Drosophila melanogaster: one gene and its partner. The protein of the gene in region 2 interacts with the protein of the main gene of each other region in a pairwise test. Each region holds a gene or a part of one and is shown on either strand. Other genes may lie near its edges.

Evidence for each region.
Region 1: the proteins of fkh (region 2) and CG11899 interact in a two-hybrid assay, tested with the Drosophila melanogaster proteins (one large-scale study listed by BioGRID).

What each region holds. Positions count from the first base shown.
Region 1 is NT_033777.3:29,198,301-29,202,384, forward strand, and holds CG11899 (uncharacterized protein), read left to right. Parts: upstream 1-2,153; 5' UTR 2,154-2,220; coding exon 2,221-2,265; intron 2,266-2,350; coding exon 2,351-3,027; intron 3,028-3,083; coding exon 3,084-3,456; 3' UTR 3,457-3,470; downstream 3,471-4,084. Other genes in the region: CG14515 (uncharacterized protein), read left to right, coding at 785-857; Mesh1 (metazoan SpoT homolog-1), read right to left, coding at 3,492-3,608, 3,670-4,014, 4,082-4,084. UniProt on the Drosophila melanogaster protein: Catalyzes the reversible conversion of 3-phosphohydroxypyruvate to phosphoserine and of 3-hydroxy-2-oxo-4-phosphonooxybutanoate to phosphohydroxythreonine.
Region 2 is NT_033777.3:28,580,340-28,587,189, forward strand, and holds fkh (fork head), read right to left. Parts: upstream 4,926-6,850; 5' UTR 4,215-4,925; coding exon 2,682-4,214; coding exon of another isoform or gene 2,136-2,681; 3' UTR 637-2,135; downstream 1-636. UniProt on the Drosophila melanogaster protein: Fkh promotes terminal as opposed to segmental development. In the absence of fkh, this developmental switch does not occur. The nuclear localization of the fkh protein suggest that fkh regulates the transcription of other, subordinate, genes.

The DNA of each region.
Region 1 (4,084 bases), 620 kb from region 2:
CTTCGTACAACGCAGTTCGTGTCTTCTATGGCCCATCACCCTCATAATAATCATCATTATCATCGGAGGCGACGGTGGAAGTAGCATAAGCCGTGGCAACATCATTGTGCCTCGTGAAGGGATTCATTAATCATACGCCACGTTGACCCACATAATGTAATGCGCGCATAATTGTCAGGCGGACAAAAACTTGCCGGATAATCGCACAAAAGGCATTATGTAATTGATTTATTTGGAAAGAGCACACCCCTCATCAATGGTCCACAAAAAAAGGCATCAAACGGCAAAGACGCCGCACAGTGACAAGCTCAAAAAAGCCAAAGAAAAGCTGTCAATGCTTTTTATGCAACTTTGTCAACTTTGTCGGCAGATAACACTGGCCAACATAGACAAGTGCCAACTGTGAATTAACCACACAAAACTTATTTTCCGGACACTTGTCTCATTTGTCATTCTACCAAAACCAAAATATGCAAATATGGGTATTAATCACAAACAGACAAGCAAAGTTTATGGACACATCTTGCACAAGATCTGAAATCAATCATCATAGTACACTAAGGGAATTAATGCACAGAATTATAAGCTATAAAATGTATTATTTTCTCCATAACCATTTGATTTGAAAGTACTGTAGTCCAGTGTCGTCTCACCTTAAAAATCATCTGCTAATATTGCCTAATCATTGTCTACTAACTATTTATAGACTTCCTTGCGAATAAATTAGAAAAAATCATGACTTGCGAGCAACCATAAGAATTAACATTTTCACTTTTCGCTGCAGGGGCACTGTGCTACAGGAGTACGGAACGTTTTGGAGCGACATTGTGAACAAAGTGCAGGCGGAGCGGCCATAACTGAAATTATGTACTTACTTTTAAGGCAGCCGGGCAATAAATCTTAAAAACCCTAATTAGTCAAAACGAAATTGTTGTTTGAGGATTTTTTTTCGACTGCCATTCACCATTCCGACGTCTTGGACGTCGGACGCCAAAGGCGCCCCATTGAGCTGTGCAATCAACATTACAGGGCAAAATTATTGGCTTTTTGGCTCAGCGCTTATGAATGACCAGCCCACATCCCAGCGCCCAACGAGGCGAACCAGTTCCCGTCGCCCACCACAGACAGCACCTTGCCACCCACATCCGCCCACATCCTCCCACCCACTCCACTCCAAGTCCGAAATGGAACGCACGAGCCGAGCACGTTTGGGTTTCCAGACACGTTGGCCAGCTTCTCATAGGAAATTCGTTTTGGGCGCCCCGGCAAATTGGAAACTCTAAGCACCTTTCAGGCTGGCTGTGCTATAAAGTAATTAGACGGCCAACGAATTTGACCAAGACATAGGCCAAGATAAGTATTCGTAGCATAGGTCTAAAGCACTTCTGATTGATTGCCCTTACAACAATAGGAAGCGGATAAGGATAAGGAATCGGTTTGCAGATATGACCAGGCGTGCAAAAGAGTTCGCGGAATTGCTAATCGGCAGACGGTTTGTTTTGCTTGAAATTTACTACCAATTATGGTAGCCAACTTACTTAAGCCTTAGTTAAATATATAATGCCTAATATTGGTTATACTCTACAGATAATTCAATAAAAAGCTATGAAATCATAAACTCACTGTCGCATGCATCGAAGCTCCACTGTACATTGCACTTACACATTTCGCTTGCAGCTTGTTTACTCGCCTGCGAACTCAGTCGCTCGCTTGTTATTGTCATTCCAGCGAAAAGTGCATGGCAACCCACGCTGGCTTGGGGGCGGGGCACACACACGATGAAGTGGGGGGGTTACTGGGAAGCACTTTGTTTTCGTGCGTTGCACATATGTACATATGTATGTATGTACGTACATATGTAATTATATACGTTAGCCGACTTGTTTTGATCGAATTCGCCGTACCGCCGCCTGCCTTTGTCTGGCTTTATGGACTCCACAGGAGCGCAGCCCAAAATGGGGGGCTTGGAGTCGAACACCCTCCCGGTGGAGAATCCGTCCCTGGAGCAACCGAGTTCGTTGTCCAGTCGGGCGAATTTGAGTCTGGTTTTCCGCACGCGTTTTGTTTACTGTCCGGTGACTTGTTGCTGTTCTCTGTGCCCGCCTTCGTCTCGTTTATCAGCGATTGCGAATACTCGCACGGACTGCTCAACACTTTAGTCAATATTTAGCCGCTTCCCGGAGAGGTTCATAGATCGCAGACGCACTACATAGTATCAGCATGGTTATCAACTTCGCCGCCGGTCCAGCCAAGTTGCCCGAAGAGGTCGGTGAAATGGGTGGCACCACTCCACACACGTGACGTGTAATAGTAACCTTGATTACATGGTTATCTCTATCTGCATATATAGGTACTGAAAGAGGTGCAGGAAAATCTTGTCAACTGCAATGGCAGCGGCATCTCGGTCATGGAGATGTCCCATCGCTCCAGCAACTATGCCAAGATCCATGATGCGACCATCAGCGATCTTCGCGAACTCCTCAATGTGCCCAGTAACTACAAGATTCTGCTGATGCAGGGCGGTGGCACCGGACAGTTCGCTGCAGTGGCTCTGAACTTGATTGGCAAGACTGGCACTGCTGATTATGTAATCACCGGCTCCTGGTCGGCCAAGGCGGCCAAGGAGGCGGCTCAGTACGGCACTGTGAACGCGGTGCTGCCCAAGTTGGCAAAGTATACAACTGTTCCACGACAGGAGACCTGGAAGCTGGACCCAAATGCCTCATATGTCTACTACTGCGACAATGAGACCGTAGAGGGCGTGGAGTTCGACTTTGTGCCCGAGGTTCCAGCCGGTGTGCCACTGGTGGCCGATATGTCCTCCAATTTTCTGTCGCGTCCCTTCGATGTCTCCAAGTTTGGCGTTATCTATGCGGGAGCCCAGAAGAATATCGGACCAGCGGGCACCACGGTGATCATTGTCAGGGACGATTTGATAGGCAAGCACTTGAAGATTACGCCCTCCATCCTCAACTTTGAGCAGATGGACAAGAACAACTCCCTGTTAAATACTCCGCCGACCTTTGGGTGAGCCCAGAATGATACATGGCTGGTGAATTCTTTGTTAAACTTTCCCCTTGCAGCATCTATGTGATGGGCCTGGTTTTCAAGTGGATCAAGCGGAACGGAGGAGTCGCTGGTATGGCCAAGCTGGCGGCAGCCAAGTCCAAGTTGATTTACGACACGATCAACCAGTCGAATGGTTTCTACTACTGCCCAGTGGATGTCAATGTGCGTTCGCGCATGAATGTGCCCTTCCGTATTGGCAGTGCCAGTGGAGATGATGCCCTGGAGAAGGAGTTCCTGAGCAAAGCCGAGGCCGAGGGCATGATTCAGTTGAAGGGTCATCGGTCGGTGGGCGGCATTCGAGCCTCCCTCTACAATGCTGTAACGCTGGCGGAGACCCAACAGTTGGCCAATCTGATGCTGGCCTTTTACAAGAACAATAAAAATTGAACAGGTTCATCTGTAATTTGTTGGTTTTTGATCGTTTACAAAAGGCCGCGTTGGCGGAAGATCTCGTCCAGCTTGAGCTCCAGGTTGGCGTTGGTTCCTCGCAGATTGTCCACCACCTTTTTGGCCCAAACGAAGTACTGATCACGACGCTCCTGGAATGAAAATATGTGATCCATAAGGTTCCGTTTTTCAAACCAAGATGGGCCCAAATACCTGTGTCCACCCTGTCGGTGTGTTGACTTGCAGATCCCTTAGGTTATCCAATTTGTCAGCCAGCTTTATGAGCTTTGCTCTGCAGCTGCTTTTGGCTGCATTTTCTATTTGCAGGCGTTTTCTCTCCTGTTTCTCCAGGGACTTGTCGTCCGTCACCTCCCTCACTAGTCCACAAACATCCGGTCCAAAGAGTTTCTCAACATCCTCGAAAGATGCGTCCGTATCCTCCACGACATCGTGCAGAAGTGCAGCCATTAGGACTCCCTCATCTGTGATGCAGGCCTCCACGGAGAGAATAGTGCTCACATTGATCACATGGTTCACATAGGGGGTTTCCTGAGGATCCTTGAAATGTAAAAAAGATAGTATTCATGTTTTAAATATATCATTTGTTGCGTTTTAATAAGCTTACCTT
Region 2 (6,850 bases):
CAAAAGGTGGTAGTAGTTCGCCAGGGGGAACTGCGTCGGATCAGGCTCTGTTGGGTTATATTGCAGCGATAAGGTCCATTGCAGCGATAGGGAAGGTGCTCGAACTCGGCTCGTAGTGCTCCATGAATATTACTAGAAAGCAAACAGAGGGGAGTCGAGTCAAGTCGGGCAGAAGATATCCACTACCCTTCCCGCTCTTTTTGGCCAGAGGGATCGGGCTGGGTTGTGCTGGACTGAGATGGGTTAGTCAGTGTGTCAAGTCCGGGCGGGAATGGGTCGGTATAGGACGGTATGGGATGGGCTGGGATGGGTCCCATGTCCCATCCTGGTTGTTTGTTTACCTTCTTGTTCCGTTGCAATTTATGAGTGCACGGCGATAAGGGTTTATCGTGGCATGGTAGTGGTGGAAAACTGCACTCTGCATCTGAGTGACGGCGATAAGATAGCGACTCCTGGAACTACTCAGCTCAGCTATCGGTCGTTCAATTCGAATTCGCTGCATTGATAGCGTCGATAGCGTCGATGGAGATAGTCAGCCATCCGGGCGGCCCAATCAATATATAAATGATTGTTGGAGGTCAGTTGCTTGAGTCAACAAAGGTTGGGAAATGAAAACTAATTTATGGTACTTTTTTTCCTTTTTCTTGTATTTCAAACATTAAAATAGTCGATTTTGGTTGTCGTTGACGTTGTGTTTGTTTTGCATGATTTATAATAATATTAATTTTACTAGCTTTAGAGTTGGATTTTAATTCTTGCGTTGACATTTATTGAATTTTATATTGTGTATTTTACAATAATTTTCATTTGTTTCTGTGTCTGTCAGTGTCAGTATGTGTGTGTGTGTGTGGGTGTTTATATTTAGACTATTTTTTATCAAGTTTAATTAATTAGCTTAGCTCAATGTAAAAATGGGTCTTTGTTTTGTGTTTGCAATTGGTTTTTTATTTTTCATTACGCACAATATAACTAATATTAAAAATTATTGAATAATAATTGCAGTTTCGCTTTTTATGTGATTTTTTTTCATTTTTGTTTTTTGCTTTCATTATTTATGCTAATTAAACGTTAAATGCTATACAGTATTTATATTTATACTATGTTTACTTTCAAGTGGTGTGGCATAATTTCATACAATTTGATTAATTCTCGAGTTAGTTAAAAATTGGTTGCTTGCAATGGGTCCTTAGTTAAATTGGGTTTCTTGGGGAGGGGGTTGCTTAAATGTATCTATTTATAGATTATTTACAAAATGCCTTAATCTAACGAATTCGTACAACAACAGAAGACACATAATGTAAATGAAATGCGGGATTTTGCGATACATGGGCGTATATCGATGCGCGTATATATAAATGGAAATTTGTTAAATTATTCAGTTAAAACGTGTCGTTTTCTTATGCATGGCCAGATTTTGTTGCTTAGATAGTTGAAGATTCTTAGGGTTTTGCTGGACTGCTCAATATGATGATTTCGGTTTTAGATTTCTTTTTGGTTTTGATCTTTTGCGATTCGAATTCGATTGCGATTGCCTTTGGATAAAGGGTTTAGTATTTGTATCTCTCTTTTTGGGACTGTTTCATTTGGGGCTTTGTTTTATGAAAGAACATTACACACGATCCCTTCTTTACATCTCCTCTCCTCAATCTTCTCCTTAATCGGATACATTTAAAATGTGATTTCAAATTTTCAGTTATAACCGCTTTGATTGTTATTGCTTGTTTCGAAACAACGAAAACAAATGGCACGGAATTATTATTTTGTATTTGTATTAGCAAAACGTAAAATTGTTAACAAAAGTTCTGCTGCACTTACAACTACATCACGGTTTCTTTCGCTCCTCCTCCTCCTGCTCTATGTCGATTTAATAACCCCCCGGAACAGAATCTATATAATCTACAATATATAGTACTGGAACTGAACAACACAAAAGGCAGCGCTCTCGATCGGCTCTTCATAGGTATCTCTATATGTACAAGTGCGAGTTGCGGCCCAAGACTCACGTGCTCAAAGGATGAGGATGCGAGTGCGGATGCGGATGCGGCCAGGTGCTAAAAGCCACCGCCACTGCACTCGCTAATTGGCAGGCCCGCTACAAAGCCGCTGCCTGTGGAGATCGGGATCTATAGCTATAGCTACAGAAGATTCTGCAGAGCGGCGGCTCCATTGAAAGCCAGGCCGTGATTCCAATTTCTGTAGCCTGCCGCCGCGGCATACTGCTGATAGTTGTTGTACAACTGCTGCTGGGCGGCCTGATGCTGCTGCAGTTGCTCCTCGCTCAGATCGCTGGTGATGTTCGATGAGTCCTCCTGCAGTTCCTGCAGCAGTTGTTGCTGCTGCTGGTGGTGTTGCTGCTGCGCCGCCGCCTGCTGTTGTTGCTGCTGCTGGTGCTGCTGTTGCAGCTTCTGTGAGTAGTTAGAGCCCGATCCTGAACCCGATCCTGACCCAGATCCCGAGGCCGAAGCCGATCCCGCCTTGCCGCTGGCCTTTGCTGATGTTGCTGGTGTATTGGAAGCGGATGTCAGTTGCTGCGCCGACTGCTGCATCTGCTGCTGCTGCTGATGCAGCTGGTGCTGCTGCTGTTGCTGCTGGTGTTGCTGGTGCTGCTGCTGCAAGTGCTGTTGCTGCTGCGAGCGCAGCATCTGCTCCGCGCGTCCTTAAGCCAGCGGGTATTGGTGATGTCACAAGCTCGTGGTTCCGGCGGGCGCATGGTAGCCAAGACTCTGGTAGTAGGAGTCCTGGCCTAAGGCAGCGTGTGAGTTGGTCAGCGGACTGAGGGCGTTGTAGCCGGCGTACTGGCTCATGTCGTACATCTTGATGTCCGCCTTGGACTCCGTGGGCAGCAGGCGGTTGATGGAGAACGGATGGCTGGAGGGCGTGTAGCCAGAGGGCTCCTGCTTCAGCGGATGCATCGACGAGTGGTAGTCGGTGATCAGCGACGGATGGCACCGATTGGCCATCATCGCCGACAGCTCCTCCTGCTGCAACTGGTGGTGCTGATGGTGGTGATGTGTGGGCACATGCTGCGGCTGCTGGCTGAGGCACAGTTCGGCATTGGCATGCAACATGGCCAGGGCCTCCGCGTCCTTGCTGTGCGCTGCACTCAGGACATTTACGCCGGCGATCGATGCTCCGCCCGCCTCCTTGTGGTGCTGATGATGGTCCAGCCGGCTGTGGTGGTGGTGGTGCATGTGGTGCGAGTCCTCGTGATCCTTCTTGCCCGGACTGGTGGCCTCCAGGCTGCTGTGCGACGGACTCTTGTGCAGCTGCCTAATGGCCTCCTTCTTCTCGTCCTTGAAACGCTTCTGTCGCCGCAAATAGCACCCGTTCTCGAACATATTCCCCGAATCCGGATGCAGAGTCCAAAACGATCCCTTTCCTGGCTTGTCCGGCGTCCTGGGAATCTTTACGAAGCAATCGTTGAAGCTCAGCGAATGTCGAATGGAGTTCTGCCAGCGCTGCTGATTCTGCCTGTAGAACGGAAACAGATCCATGATGAACTGATAGATCTCCGAGAGCGTCAACATTCTGGTGGGGTTATTCTGAATGGCCATGGTGATCAGTGAGATGTAGCTGTATGGCGGCTTGGCATGCGTGTAGCTCCTTCTGTACGTAGTTGGTTTGTCCACCCGCGATCTGCCTAGGGAATTCGGCGATCCCGTCTCCATTTCCCGGGATCCCGGCGGCATGGCGCCATAGGTGCCGCTCAATCCCGCCGCCGACATACTCGCTGCCGACATGGCCATGCAGCCACCCATGTTCCCGAGCGGTGATCCCATGCTGGCGTAGCTCATCGAGCTGGGGGTCATGCAGTTGCCGCCCATTGAGTTCATGGCCGCCGCACCCATGCTGCCGTTCATGCTGGCATTCATGCTGGCGCTCATACTGGCACTCATGCTGGCGCTCATGCTGGCGACCGCCGCCGCCGAGTCCAGGACGCTGGAGCTGAATGTGGCCGCCGCCTGAGGGGAAACCGATGACATGCCACCCACCGGCAGGCCCATGCTGTTCATTGTGTAGGCGGATCGAGCCAGGGGACTCATGCTGCCGCCGTTGCTCGTCGGATTCGGGTTGTTATTGCTGGGCGGTGGGGGCCCACCGCCTCCTCCTCCGCCGCCGCCTCCACCGCCGCCCGACGGAGGACCACCGCCACCCGAGCTGGCCATGCTCACCGGAGCACTGCTCGGAGGCGGCTCCGCGTAGAGCTTCTGCATGATGTCAATGGTGGTCTGGTGGGGGCTACCCTTCAGAAAGCTGTTCAATAGTTGCGCCGTTATGTTGCCGGCTTTCGGAGGCGCTGCCCTCTGGTGGATCGATGGAAAAGGCAACGCGTTCTGCAACGCGTTAGTTAAAACGAAAATCAAAAAGGAGGTCTTTAAAACGTGGCTTTACTCTGATATATTGTATATCAACTGTGATTTCAGTGCACTATCACTGCTTCAATCGGTTTGCATATATCTGGCATTTTATCGAGAGCACTTCGGCACTTGTCACTTGTTGGCTGGAAGGTTCTGATTCCGTTTGCGATTCTGATTCTGATTCTAAGCTTTGTTTGTAAACACACACCGTGGTTTAATTATTTGTGCGGGATAATCATATAAAATATATATTTATTTTCTGTTATGATTCGATTCTTTTTGTATTTTCTTTGTATTTTTGTATGGGGATTTTTGTTGTCTGCCGCACCGAGCGGCCACAAAACACCGACGCACGAACGTGAATATCTAGCTGGCTGTTGGCCACTGAAGTCTGAAGCTGGGAGTTGTGCTGTGCTGTGCTGCTGCTTTTGCTGCTGCTGCTTTTGCTTTTGCTGCTTTGGCTGATGCTGCTGTTGCCGTTGCCGCTTTAGCTGCTGGTCCGCTCGAGTGTCTCTTTGGCTTGAGCTCTTGAATGTGACTGTTTGCAGAGGGGAACGCTTGTCTACTATTTGGCTTGCGCTTGCTGCCAACAAATATTGTTCGAGCCGCGCTCAAGTGCCTCGGCCGACGTCGGCGTCGACAGCGGCGGCAGCGGCAGCAGCGACGCGCCCGGGCAGCACCAGCTCCGACTCGTTCTCGCCAATGGCCCGGCGGTATAGTGCGTCTCACCACCACCCTGGCGGAGTTACCAATGACAGGCGGCGGTTCTCTTACGTACACAGTGGTGCTGCGGCGCAAGCGCATTGGTCGGTTGGCCTCTTGTATCAACAGAGCAGGGCCGGTTGCCAGGCAACTGGCCATTGGGGGGGCGTGGCCAGGCCGCAGTCAGCAACGCCCTCCACTCACACACCCTCAGCGGTGCGGACAGAGATACACGGGCAGAGATACCGGATACGCATACAGCTGCAGATACATTCGCAGTGGCCTAGCCTAATGCTGAGCGACGCCATGTTACAGTTAACGATTTTCCCTAATGCGATCAATAATCGCTCGCTCTCCTTCTCGCCGTAGCGTGCTATCAGAAAATAAAAAGAAAAAATGTGGAAAAAAAACCATTAAGACGGGTTCTGGAGACCGAATCTCTGGGGAGACTGAGAATGCGACGACGCTCTGTTTTTCGAGAGAAACAAAAAGACCGAGTGTTTTGGCCTGGCCTGGCCTGGCTTGGCTTGGCTGGGTTTGGCTCCCAAACAAGACATTTAATAATATCTGTGTGTGTTTTTTCAGCCAGTTTTTTTTCGTATCCGTACCGCTTTTTCCCTTTTGAGGTTAAGGTATGCCAATGTCACTCTCATTCATTCCCATTCGCATTCGTGGCGAGGCATCGCGAGCGGCAGCAGCAAATCATCAGAACAGCGGCGCAGTTCACCTTTTTGGCAAGTCATTGCGAAAGTGACCCAGTTCTGCATCTGGCCAGCATCAGCCGCATCTCATCCGAGCATCCCACTGCATCCTACCTAAGATACCCGAAACATAAGCATCCACAGTTCATTGATAGCGCGTGCTGGCAGCTACTTCCTGGTATCCTGGCAATTTATCCACGTTTATGGTCCCGGATAAAACGCATTCTAATTTCGGGCCATAAACCATAGACGCCTTTCCTATTCCGCTTAACCCTTTCGCTTGGCCAAGTGTATCTGCGAGTGCCTGTGTGTGTGTGTCCGTGTGCGAGTGTGTGCCAATCCGTGAGAGTGTATGTGTGTGAGCCAGGCTCATTATTGCGTGTCATAAAAGGACGATTGTCTCGTTTCTCAATGAATGTTTTGCTCAATTAAGATCTACCTGAGCGGGAGGAAAAGCGGGGAATTTCCGCATTACTTTTCCATTTGTCAATGCAGCAGTTCTTTCTCCTCTCACTTTTTTGTAGCCTTCATCTAGGCGCTGAGACATTGAATTTTTGAAATTATCAATGAAATGTAATGAAACATTTCGCTTGTGGGAGAAATCACATTTTTATGATCGCCCCATTTCCGAGTAATTATAATGACTAATGACTTATGTCATATAGAGCCGTTTCCCCTTCACAAAAGCACTACTGAGTAATATTTTTATCATATTCAAGATTATCTTCAAATTGTTTGAATAATTGTTTACAATAACCATGGGTTAGATAAGATTGAGAGATAAGCGAAACTGAATCAGGAAAAAATCTTTCGCTCAACAATGGTATTCATAATATTTAACCTGTTTAACATTGTTTGGCTTGCCACTCGGATATCTATATCCCATCGTGATGATCATTAAACATCAAACACTTTCGGTGACTGAGCACATATGTACTCAAATCCTTATGTGCACTTCTAATAACCGTAATGTGCTTAAATATTTAATATTTTTATTGTATTTCACAGGCAATTCAAGTGGCTTTGGCTCATTAATGTTTGCCGTGTGGGCGTTGGGTTGGTAGGTATTTTTGTTGTTCAGAGCGCATC